Linked DNA regions of Arabidopsis thaliana. The protein of the gene in region 2 interacts with the protein of the main gene of each other region in a biochemical or structural test. Each region holds a gene or a part of one and is shown on either strand. Other genes may lie near its edges.

Evidence for each region.
Region 1: the proteins of MYBL2 (region 2) and EGL3 form a complex in vitro, tested with the Arabidopsis thaliana proteins (one study listed by BioGRID).

Annotation. Positions count from the first base shown.
Region 1 is NC_003070.9:23,597,395-23,603,810, reverse strand, and holds EGL3 (basic helix-loop-helix (bHLH) DNA-binding superfamily protein), read right to left. Parts: upstream 4,399-6,416; 5' UTR 4,161-4,398; exon of another isoform or gene 4,008-4,160; 5' UTR 4,003-4,007; coding exon 3,884-4,002; intron 3,696-3,883; coding exon 3,423-3,695; intron 2,875-3,422; coding exon 2,778-2,874; intron 2,673-2,777; coding exon 2,601-2,672; intron 2,519-2,600; coding exon 1,781-2,518; intron 1,660-1,780; coding exon 1,240-1,659; intron 1,149-1,239; coding exon 1,077-1,148; 3' UTR 647-1,076; downstream 1-646. UniProt on the Arabidopsis thaliana protein: Transcription activator, when associated with MYB75/PAP1, MYB90/PAP2 or TT2. Involved in epidermal cell fate specification. Negatively regulates stomata formation but promotes trichome formation.
Region 2 is NC_003070.9:26,794,436-26,798,619, forward strand, and holds MYBL2 (MYB-like 2), read right to left. Parts: upstream 2,095-4,184; 5' UTR 1,792-2,094; coding exon 1,752-1,791; exon of another isoform or gene 1,582-1,751; coding exon 1,455-1,581; intron 1,369-1,454; coding exon 948-1,368; 3' UTR 617-947; downstream 1-616. Other genes in the region: LPR2 (Cupredoxin superfamily protein), read right to left, coding at 2,766-2,819, 2,901-3,230, 3,301-4,184.

The DNA.
Region 1 (6,416 bases), 3.2 Mb from region 2:
TATTGCAGGTGAAAGTTTGCAACTACCATATTTACAAATGCTTCTTGTAGCCAGATTCATATAAGCAAAATCTGAGTTCAGATATGGCCGCGCTTATACAAGCTATAGTCATACTTCTACATACTAAATATCAAGGTTTACACACTATATACCGAGGCTAATACATGATATAAACCTCAACTTCACCAATTCATGGATCTTCTTAATGGCCACCTACCATGCCAACCAACCCATTAAAGAATTTCCACTCTTTTTAAGTTTCGTTCTAAATCAAGAAATTGTTCAACACAATTTCTAACCCCACATTATGTGTATTTTCAATAAAGTTAACCTCTTACTAAAATGAGAGTGTTACTTTGATGCTACCAAACGAAATCCAAATACAGTATAGTCCTTGTGCTTACAATTTTCTTCCTTTCTTTTTGAAATAAAAAGTTAATGTTAAAATGGTAACACATGTTGAAGTGAGATCTCAGTGGCGTTAGATGCAATTATTTGAAATGACATTACTTCTTTTCTCTATAAGGCAGTGTATTTTGCGAACACTTTTATCAGCTTTTGACCACCATTTCTATCTTTAACTTTTCTAAAAATATTTTTTTAATTTCTTACATAACTTTTCTAAAAACATATAAAGAATATTTGAAGTGAGATTGAAGACTTAAGATACTGGAATCGGGCTATGTAGTATCTCTTTAGATTTTACTATAATGTTTTTGGTCGAACTTGAACTAGTCACAAAATATGATCTCGTTACAAATACTTATACAAAAGTTACTTTCAACAACAAAAAAAAAGTTCTAGTTTACTTACTTTTAAAAATGATAGTGCACGAACTACTACGAGTGGTTTTCATATTTCGCATAATTGAATTTCATAGTATGCTAATTGCTAAGTAAGTAATTTCTTATTGTCTTCTCCTACGTAATGAGCCAAAAGGAACGATTTTTCAAGAATTCTTAAGGATCTTCCAAAACTTCAAAATCACAAAAACTCGGTTAGAATCACTGATTACCGAAAATTGGGAAACCAAACCAGAGAAAAAGCTAATTTTGTCAAATCTAAACCTTGAATCCTTAACATATCCATGCAACCCTTTGAAGTGCCTCTTGGATCATTCCTGTTGTTGCTATTTTTGTCCCTTTATGCTGCAATCAACATTAAACATTACATATCACATTTCGGTTTGCTCATATTCCGGTTGAGTAACATAAATCAAGCTTGGTTTAATGACTGTACCTTGCAATTGACAGTTAAGCAGAGTAAACCGTCTCCGGTTGACGACTGAACCGAGTGAGAATCCAAGTTGAGATCACTAATCACATCCATTATCTCAAGCAATATCCCTTCTCTCCAAGCGCATCTAAGCTCAATAACCACCTCGTTACCTAATGAACTGATCCTTAAGTTATCCGTTAGACCAGCATAACCGATATCAGCTGGTTCATCTTCTCCTACATTCACATCACTCCCCTTCCTTTTGCTGTTCATACAATTCGCTGATGCTCTTTCCTCCTCATCATCCGGTTTCTTCCTCTTCATCATCGTTATCCGTGTCTCTGTATCAGCAGATTCTCTACAAGATTCCAACTCTTGAACCCGTTTCTGTAAATCTTGAAGATACTCAATTGTATCATCAAGAATCGACACTTTATCAATCTGTAGAATCAGCAAGAGACTCAAGCTTAGTTCCTTCAGAGCATTATATTTAAACATGTCTTCCTATTATCAAGAAATAAACATAAAACGTTACTGAAACAGATTTGCTAGAATCGGTTACCTTACTAATTGAGGGAATGATTGATCTCAATGTCATAAACCGTTCATTCAATTTCTCGCGGCGTTTCTTCTCGGACAAGGCATGGTTCCCGGTTTCCTCTGGTGTGTCCGGTAACAACTCTTCTTTCTTGTTCATCAAAGGAACCTCGAAGAGTATCTTCTTTATCATCTTCTGCGATTTCTCTCCCAATGTTTTCACAGATGATGATCGCTTCCACCTTGTGAAGCTAGACCGCTTATCGAAGTTCTGAAACTGCGGTCCGAGTATTAGCTGATGCGTTGTTTTGAAAATCGTCGATATCACGCCTTGGTAATGAACATCGTCGTCCATATTTACATGGTTACTCTGTTCTTGAATCTGACCTAACCGTTGAATCCTACTCTTCCTTGGATCGCAAGCAAGTCTCCCGGTTGTTCCAACAAACGTTTGGGAAACGCAATCGCTTGAATTTAACGATTGGTGAATGCAGTTACTGATTTCTTCACCCACAAACTGCCAGCTTTGTACCTGAGACGCACCACCATCGTTGATGAACGAATCATGATCCTCAGGTTCTTGCTCAAACCCGCTAGTAGAAGTTGTTGGAAAAGCTTCGGTTATAAACACCGGAGTGTATTTATCGTCACTTAAGGGATCAAAAATTTCTTGATAGTCTGATCTTGTCGATATTGTAGTATATGGAGGAGCTTCAAGGAACAACGTCTTAACACTTTGTATCACGTTCATGTCCTCTTTAATCTAAAAGAACAAAAGATAAGTTTTGGGTACTTTTAAGAATGTTTTGATAGTGTTGGAAAAAAAATAGGAAATATAGGCTTACATGTTCGGTCGTGCCAATCTCAAGGACTCCTCCAAGAAACGGGAAGCAAACCACTGTCTGAAGCGAAGCACTCTTTAAAGAGCAAAACGCCAAACGAAAAAAAAAAAAAAAAAGAGCGTTTTCAGTTATAGCGTTCTTGAATTCTAGCGTTAGCGTTTCCAATTGCAAAAAACTTACTTTAGCTAGAAGAGAACGAGTGAAGACTTTGCTATCGGCGGTTTCAGCGTTACAAAGCCATATTGGTTCTCCATTGGATAACGCTCCTCCGGGGATTCTACATTAGAAAGACGGAAATACCCTTTATGTTTTGTATCTCAAAATCTTTATCTTAATGGGAACAAAAGTTTTCTACTACTTTCTTTGAATAGCAAATGTATAATGCAATTATGCAAATGAAGTAAAAACTTATTTCCGTTGTGCTTTCGCATTTCTATCTATGTATGTCTTCTAAGATTAAAAAGAGGTATACTTTAAAAAAACCTACAAACATAAAAAAAATTAAGTAAATATAAAGGATAATTGCATTGTTAATAATTAAACTCGTACATGTCGGATTTCTGAATAAGCTCACATGGAAGAAGAAATGAAGGAGACAAGCTAATAAAGGGTGTTCTTGTCTTTTTTTATGAGACAAAATAAAACATACCCTTATACTTTTTTTTTAGAATTTTGGTATCGTTTACATTTTCTTATAATGTCTACGAATAAAATAATACTATAATTTAAAAACGATATTCTTCATAAAAGAAATTTTTCTGAAAGATAGGTTTTTGTTTTTAAAAAAGGTGAAATGAAAGGATTATGAGGAAGAGACGGAATTACCCTTCACCGATGTTGAAGACGAAAGACATGCATACTAAGTAGTACCACTCGGTGTCGGTGAGGTCCTCCGGTGAGAGAGCGGCGGCGGAAGCTCGTCTAGTGACCTGAGAGCTACCGGAAGCTGAGGATTCAGCGAGGGAGAGAGATTCATAAAGCTCTCTAAGCTGCTCACTTCTCTCAAGACCTAACTGGTCAATTTTGACTTCTGCTGCTTGAATCGTCTTCCTTGTCTTTATGTCTCCATTGTAATATCCATCTCCCCACTCCAACACTCTTCGTTTAGAGAAAACAAAAAAGATAGCCAAGAAAAATTGGATTAATCGAGAAAACATAACAAAAATCGAAATCTTGAAGTAAGGATAAAGTTTTATCTGAGTTTTGGACTAAAGTCAAGAATGTCTCAAACAAAACTTTATTTTCAAGAAAAGTTAATTTGAAGGATAAAGATTACGAGATTGTACCCTGGTTGAGAAGCAGAGACAGACCAGAAGATTCCATAACTCCATTGAATGTTTCGAACTGAAACTGCGAGCTGTTTCTTTAGATTGTCCGGCACCGTTCTGTTTTCTCCGGTTGCCATTGTTTCTTCATCCCCATGTAACAAACAAACGAACAAACAAAGATCAGATTTTTTGTCAAAAACAAAACTTTGTTGTCTTTGAATAAATCAAAAGAGAAACAGAAAAAAAGCAGAAGTGATTTAAAGGTTATGACTAGTCATGAGTTAGTGATTTTTACATGACATTGGTTTGGTTTCCTGAGGAAGAAAGAAGAAGACAACAAAACCCAGAATATATTTATTTTTTTTAACCTTCTATAATGGGAAAATATTAAATATTTGTGACTTTCAAGTTACTATCTGTTGTGGTTGAATTGAGCTTTGAGTTGAGAGAAAAGGACGGTGTCCGAATGACCAAATCTCTTTATGGATACTTATTTTAGGTGTGTGTACACTGTATATAATCACAAAACACTGAACTTTACGAGGAATTTTAAATAAATATATATAAAACAAGATGGTAAAAAAAAAAAAAAGTAGTGTCTAGTGTATAACCCTTTTGAATACGGTGTTCCAAGCACCACTCTCCTTTTGGAAATTTATTTTTGTTAAGAGAAATTAGTTATTTTTCCATCTCTAAAATCTTTTTTCTATCAATGATATGTCCTATTCTCTACGTTTCATGATAAACGATGTTCTGAAGAAATTTGTTTGTTTCACAATATAAAATATTTTCAAGTTTTTATGTAAATTATAGATTAATTTAATATTGTATACATATTTATATTATGCATCAGCTTTTATAATCTGCTGAATTTTTTAAAAAATATTTTTTAATTTTTATATTTTTAATTAAAACATCTTATATTTTGATTTTTTAATTTTTATATTTTTATTTAAAACATCTTATATTTTGAAACGGAGGAAATAACTTTTTTTAGTAACTCATAATATAGGTCTTTAGACTTTAAGCAGAGTTTGAACCAAAAAAAAAATTCATAGGCATAACACTTACAAATCCAACCAAACCAATTTGCCACCCTTATAAGCAATGTTTATATGTTACTGCCTTACTGGTCAAATATATACACAAATATTAACTTGATTTTAAGATAGAACAAATCCTAATGGTGAAACACGAAGAAAGACATGAAATTAATGTTATGCCTCGAGGAGATACCCTGGAGAGAGAGACAAGCTTCTAGTATTGACTAAATTACGTTGTATGGTTTAACTAAAATATAATATATACTATGTTCATTGAATATATATATTCTACATTGTTTTCGAATCTTCGGAAATACCATAGAACATTTGTATAATTGCTAATTAATTTTCTATGCACCTTCATTTTAATTAATCGCAACCTCGTAAATTATTTGTATTAAAGATGCGTACACGAGCCAATTATATATGGAGTTAGACAATAAGGTTATCAAGAACGAGTGAATTTGGGATCTAAAGATAATGTAAGGTTTAGTATTCTTCCTTGACTTCAATTCTAAGGTAAGGGATTGATAATGGGTTTAGCTATGTAACAACCTATGTTGATCAAAATCACGAGAAAATGATATTTAAATGAGATGATTAATAAAGAAGAAACCAAGAGTCATTATTATCATATGCTATGTGCATGCTCTTAATTAATTCTTCGCATCTCCCAAAATTATCACCCCTAACTAGGACTACTTGTCGTGTCTGTACGTTGAAAAACGGAGTCAGATATTGTTTATTTCATGTACTAACTGTATGATTCATAAAACATAATAACCTGATAAATGAAGATTTGTACATTTATATCAACGTGAACGTCTGTGTTTTCAGTAATTTCTTAAATAGTTTTTCTTTGCTGATTATTTTTTTCGTTACTTTCCTAAAAGATATGTCATCTAGTTACACTGTGGTCATCGTGAACACACGCAAACATTAGATTCTGTAGCCTATAGTCTCCGGCTCTCAGCTCAAAAAGGGTCATTTTGACTTTTGCTTAATATATATAATTTGACTATAAAAATGTAGTGAAATACTACAATTCTGGACAGTACTTCTAATGCATTGGACAAAAAACAAAAAAACAAAAAAACAAACTAAATATACACCTCATTTTGTTACACATATGACATATTAACCATTAGCTAGTACACAACTAATAAATCTTTCATTATAATATCTAACGCCGCAGATGATGATGCATTGTTTTATCGAGACTGAAAATATAAATAAATTCTTCACACAATAGAAATAAAAACAAAATATTGAAAAAGTAAAATGAAAGAGATGCTCGCATTAATTGCACGGAACAGAGTCTACTGTTGATAAAAAAAAAAAAGAGTGATCGAACAGTCCATTTTTTGGGGTCCAGTTTATTTAATTTAGCATTAATAACTTTGTCAGCGCGAGCCACTCTCTATGATTTTGATTCCATCATAAATTATAAAACCAACCAAAATTCATATCTAAATTAATTCCTTTAACCCATTCAATAAGCTTTGCTT
Region 2 (4,184 bases):
GGCATGTGATTTTTGCTTGCACATCCACACACAACTCTCCATTAACCACAATACTCACCGTTATTTCTGAAATTTATGGTGTAGTTGTACTTGCGGAACAATATGAAAGTGAAGGTGAGATCAGAGTTTATACAGTTGTGGAAACAACTTCTTTGATGGTTGTAGATCCCGCAATCGTAGAAACAACCTTAATGATGATTGTAGTTTCGATGATAAATATTGGTCCATTTTCTTAGCAAACAATCTCCTCTTCTATACTTGTCAAACATTCATATTCTTTGGTCATGCAATTTTGTTTAATATTTGATGATGTTTGAATAGCGGTTGTACAAATGTATTTACTTTCTAATTTTTATTTTAAGCATGTATGAAGATACTTTAAACAAATTCATTGTGAGTTTTGTTCAAAATATATGTGAACGTGTTTGTACTAGTTGGTGCATATTTGACCGTATAGTCTCCATGCTTAAGACATCCTTAAATCGATACATTTCATTATTTTATAAGTTAACTAATTTGCTTCCTTTATATCTTTAGTAAGTAATTTTCGTATTTATAGATTCCTTTGTGCGAAACGAGAGTTTGAAATTGCTTTTGAATAAAGAGTAAAGTGTAGTTTGGAGGAAAATGAACATACTTGTCCATTTTAAGAGAGTTAATTAATACTTCCCGTCAATGTGCACCGTTAACATTGCTGTATTAGCTATAATTTCTTACAGCTTGATTGATCAAATAAGCAGCGGTTATCGTCGGTTAGTTATTAACGATCTACTATAATACTAATCACTGAAAACAGAACCGGACATTTAAGAGAATAGTTGTTCAATGACCAGCCGGTCCAATTCAGGATTAACATATTTCAAACATCGTTATACCATCTCTCTAGTGAATATTATAATATGTGCATTTGTAATATAACAAATGTGTACAAACAAATACACCATTTCTCATCGGAATAGAAGAAGCGTTTCTTGACCTGTTGAACCATTGGTAGAGGATTCGCTAGAGTCCTGAAGGCAAAGAGCTGGCAAAGAAGTCACGGCCGGGATGAGACCAATGTTTAGGTCAGGCAAATGACTTCGTCCGGTACTAGTACTATCCTCCGAGCAATTGGTACTTGGAATGGGCAAAATTGTTACACCACATGATTCGGATACCGAAGAAGATTGATCACTAATAATCTTGGTTTCATGTTCCTTATGTGAAGAATGGAGGTGACGTCTAGAAATGTAGTTGGTGTGATGGTGGAGACGATGATTGGTTGGGTCGATTCCCATTTTTACGAGCTTCCTTTTTAGGTAAGTTTCCCAATGGATCCTAACTTCGTTGTCGGTTCGTCCTGGCAATCTTCCCGCTATCAATGACCATCTGAAAAAACATAACATCAAAATGATTATTAGCACGTACCGTTCACATTACTATTGAATTAAAGAATAAGAAGAATGAATACGAACCTATTGCCAAGAAGTGCATGAAGCTTGAGGATGAGATCGTCTTCATCTTTTGAGAAGTTGCGTTGTTTAACTTCTGGCCTTACGTAGTTTCGACCTCTCAATCGACATCTCTTACGGTGTTGCATACCTAAGAGAAGGGATCAAAATTTAACAAATTAAAACGATATATCGTCACAAAGTCACGTATGTACACATGTATATCTATGAATTCTACATCGACCTCTTTAAACTATGAATAATTTGGTGATGTGAATAGCAAAACACATGATTAATACTGTTTAAAGAGAAAATAGTTACCGGAAGGTGGGGAGAGAGCACGAAGGCGGGTTTTGTTCATGTCTTTTTCAAAGTGAGATTGGTTGAGTTATGTCTTTTTTTAAAACTGTTGATAGATTGTGAGGTGGTTTGCGAGAAGAAACTGATATATAGGATTAGGGGATGGCTTGAGGAGGTTTGACTTGGACTGGTGGGTTGAGAGAAGCGTGCATGCTCAATCAAACTATTAATGAACGAGGAAGAACAAGAAGAATACATCAACCTTGTTAATTGGTCCCACATTTAGGAGTTGAAACAAATAAAAATTGGTCCCATATTTGTTCAAATCCATTAGAATTTGTGGAATCATGAATGTGGAAGTGTGTCGCATTTAATTTGCCTTACCAATACCAATCCAAATCTCGCTCTTATCCACATTTTCGTAAAATATATGTACGGCTCCGATAGATACCTTTTGTGAAATATCAAAGATGTGTGTGTGGTATCAATAATAGATTCACTAAAATATATATTAAGCAAGAAGAAGACGAAGAAGATATTTGACTAGTGGCTCAAAATTATTTGGATGCATTATTTGATAAAATATCTGAAGCTTCCGAATATGACATGAAAATAAACAAATTAAGAGAAAATAGGAAACCATGAAATTAAAGAGTGTAGGTTCAGGAACAGATAAGGGAGAAACATGGGAGCATTCAATTGAATTTGACTGGTGGTTAGGACTTTGTATACGAGGAATTTTCTAATTTCACTCACCACTTCCCTATCTCACTTACCATCTACTCCAAAATCATATAAGAAGCAAAAGAGTTTTGTTATTGGGCCCGTTAAAGCCCGTAACTGTTAAAAGCCCATTAACAAGCTGCTTCTAATCTCCGAGGCCAAGTGAAAAACAATGATAGAGATATAACATCAATCCAATCGAATTATCTTTTAACACTTTCTGTATAAGATATTTATGTAATCTGAAATCTCAATCTATATCAACTCGTTTGTATTCTGCACTCGTAATTGTAAATTGTTTTCGTTTTAGAATTATAGCACCATTGCAAAGGGCCTCATCATCATATTGTCTTCATGGTCCAATATCTGCAATGCCAATATCATACAGTTAGTTCTAAAAGAAAAAGCTAAATTCGTCATCAACTTTTTAGTATTTTACCAACTTACGTGACAGTGGTAAACATAGCCTGGCTCTTGAGTTGCGTCAAAGGAGTAAGATTCGTTTGAGTGAATGTAAGAAAATCTAACGAGTATCTTCGTTACATGTCCCGGCATCATCTTGAATACGTTTTTCCATCCCCGCTCGTGTACCGTAACCGCGGTCTTGTTCCCTCGTGCGTATTTGCTAATCTCACACTTGACGGCATCGTTTCTTTTAGTCATGCACTCTATGAACTCCTCACTCTTCACCAATGCCGTTTGCTCCAATACTTTAAACAATCCCAAGTGAATGTGCAACGGATGGTTATCCTCGGTTAAGTTTATCACTTCCCACACCTTCATTATTGTAAGCATTAAAGATTTGAACTATACGGTTAGTGAATAGTGAAATTTTGGTTATAAATACCTCGCTTGTGCCGATTTTTGGAGTTTCGGTTACGGGAGCGTTGTAAGGCAGACCGTTGATGTATAGATGTGTTGGCTCGTCAATGCTTGACACATACTCGAACATAGCAATGTAACGTGTACGTGTGGAGGTTGATACATGAGCAGGAGGGTATTCAATTAGCTTCTTCGGAATAATCGACGTGTCAACTTCTGATTTGTAGTTGATTATAAACTTCATGACTTTGCTGTTCTCTTCCGTGACGGGATCTCCCGACGGGTAAGGATAAGGTGCATTGTTGGCAAGAATTGCCGTTTTCGATGTTGACTTTGAAAAGTCAACGAGTACGTCGACAATCTCCGACGGAGCTAGGAGAACAGATTTGGTCGATACTGGTTTCGCTAGATAAGCGGAATCGGAACCAACGACAATGAAGTCGAGACCGTTGGAGAAGAAGAACCGGAAGAACCTTGCGTTACTAGCGTTTGTGATTCGAAATCTATATTTCCGGCGGCGGACGGTTAATCTCGGCCATGCTTTACCGTTCACAATGATGGCGTCGCCGAAATACTCTGGCTGCCATTGTGGATGAATCGTTGGATTGTTCCCTGTAGCGTTCATGTAAATGGAACCATCTTTACGAAAAGATCGGTCAAAGATGACCAAAGGACGATCGAATTCGCGTCCGGTAGGTAACCGAAGAGGCGATTCGACTGAGCTATGACGGAGAATGTAAGAGCCTAACAAACCGGCAAGAAGGTTGACTCTGGTCAACCCTGCCGCGTGGTCATGGTACCACATGTTTCCAGGTTGTTGCTTGTTGACGTAATGTGTAGTCTTTTTGGTCCATTTGGAACCAGTTTCTTTGAAACCAGCGGTGAACCATGAATCTGCATTTCCATCGC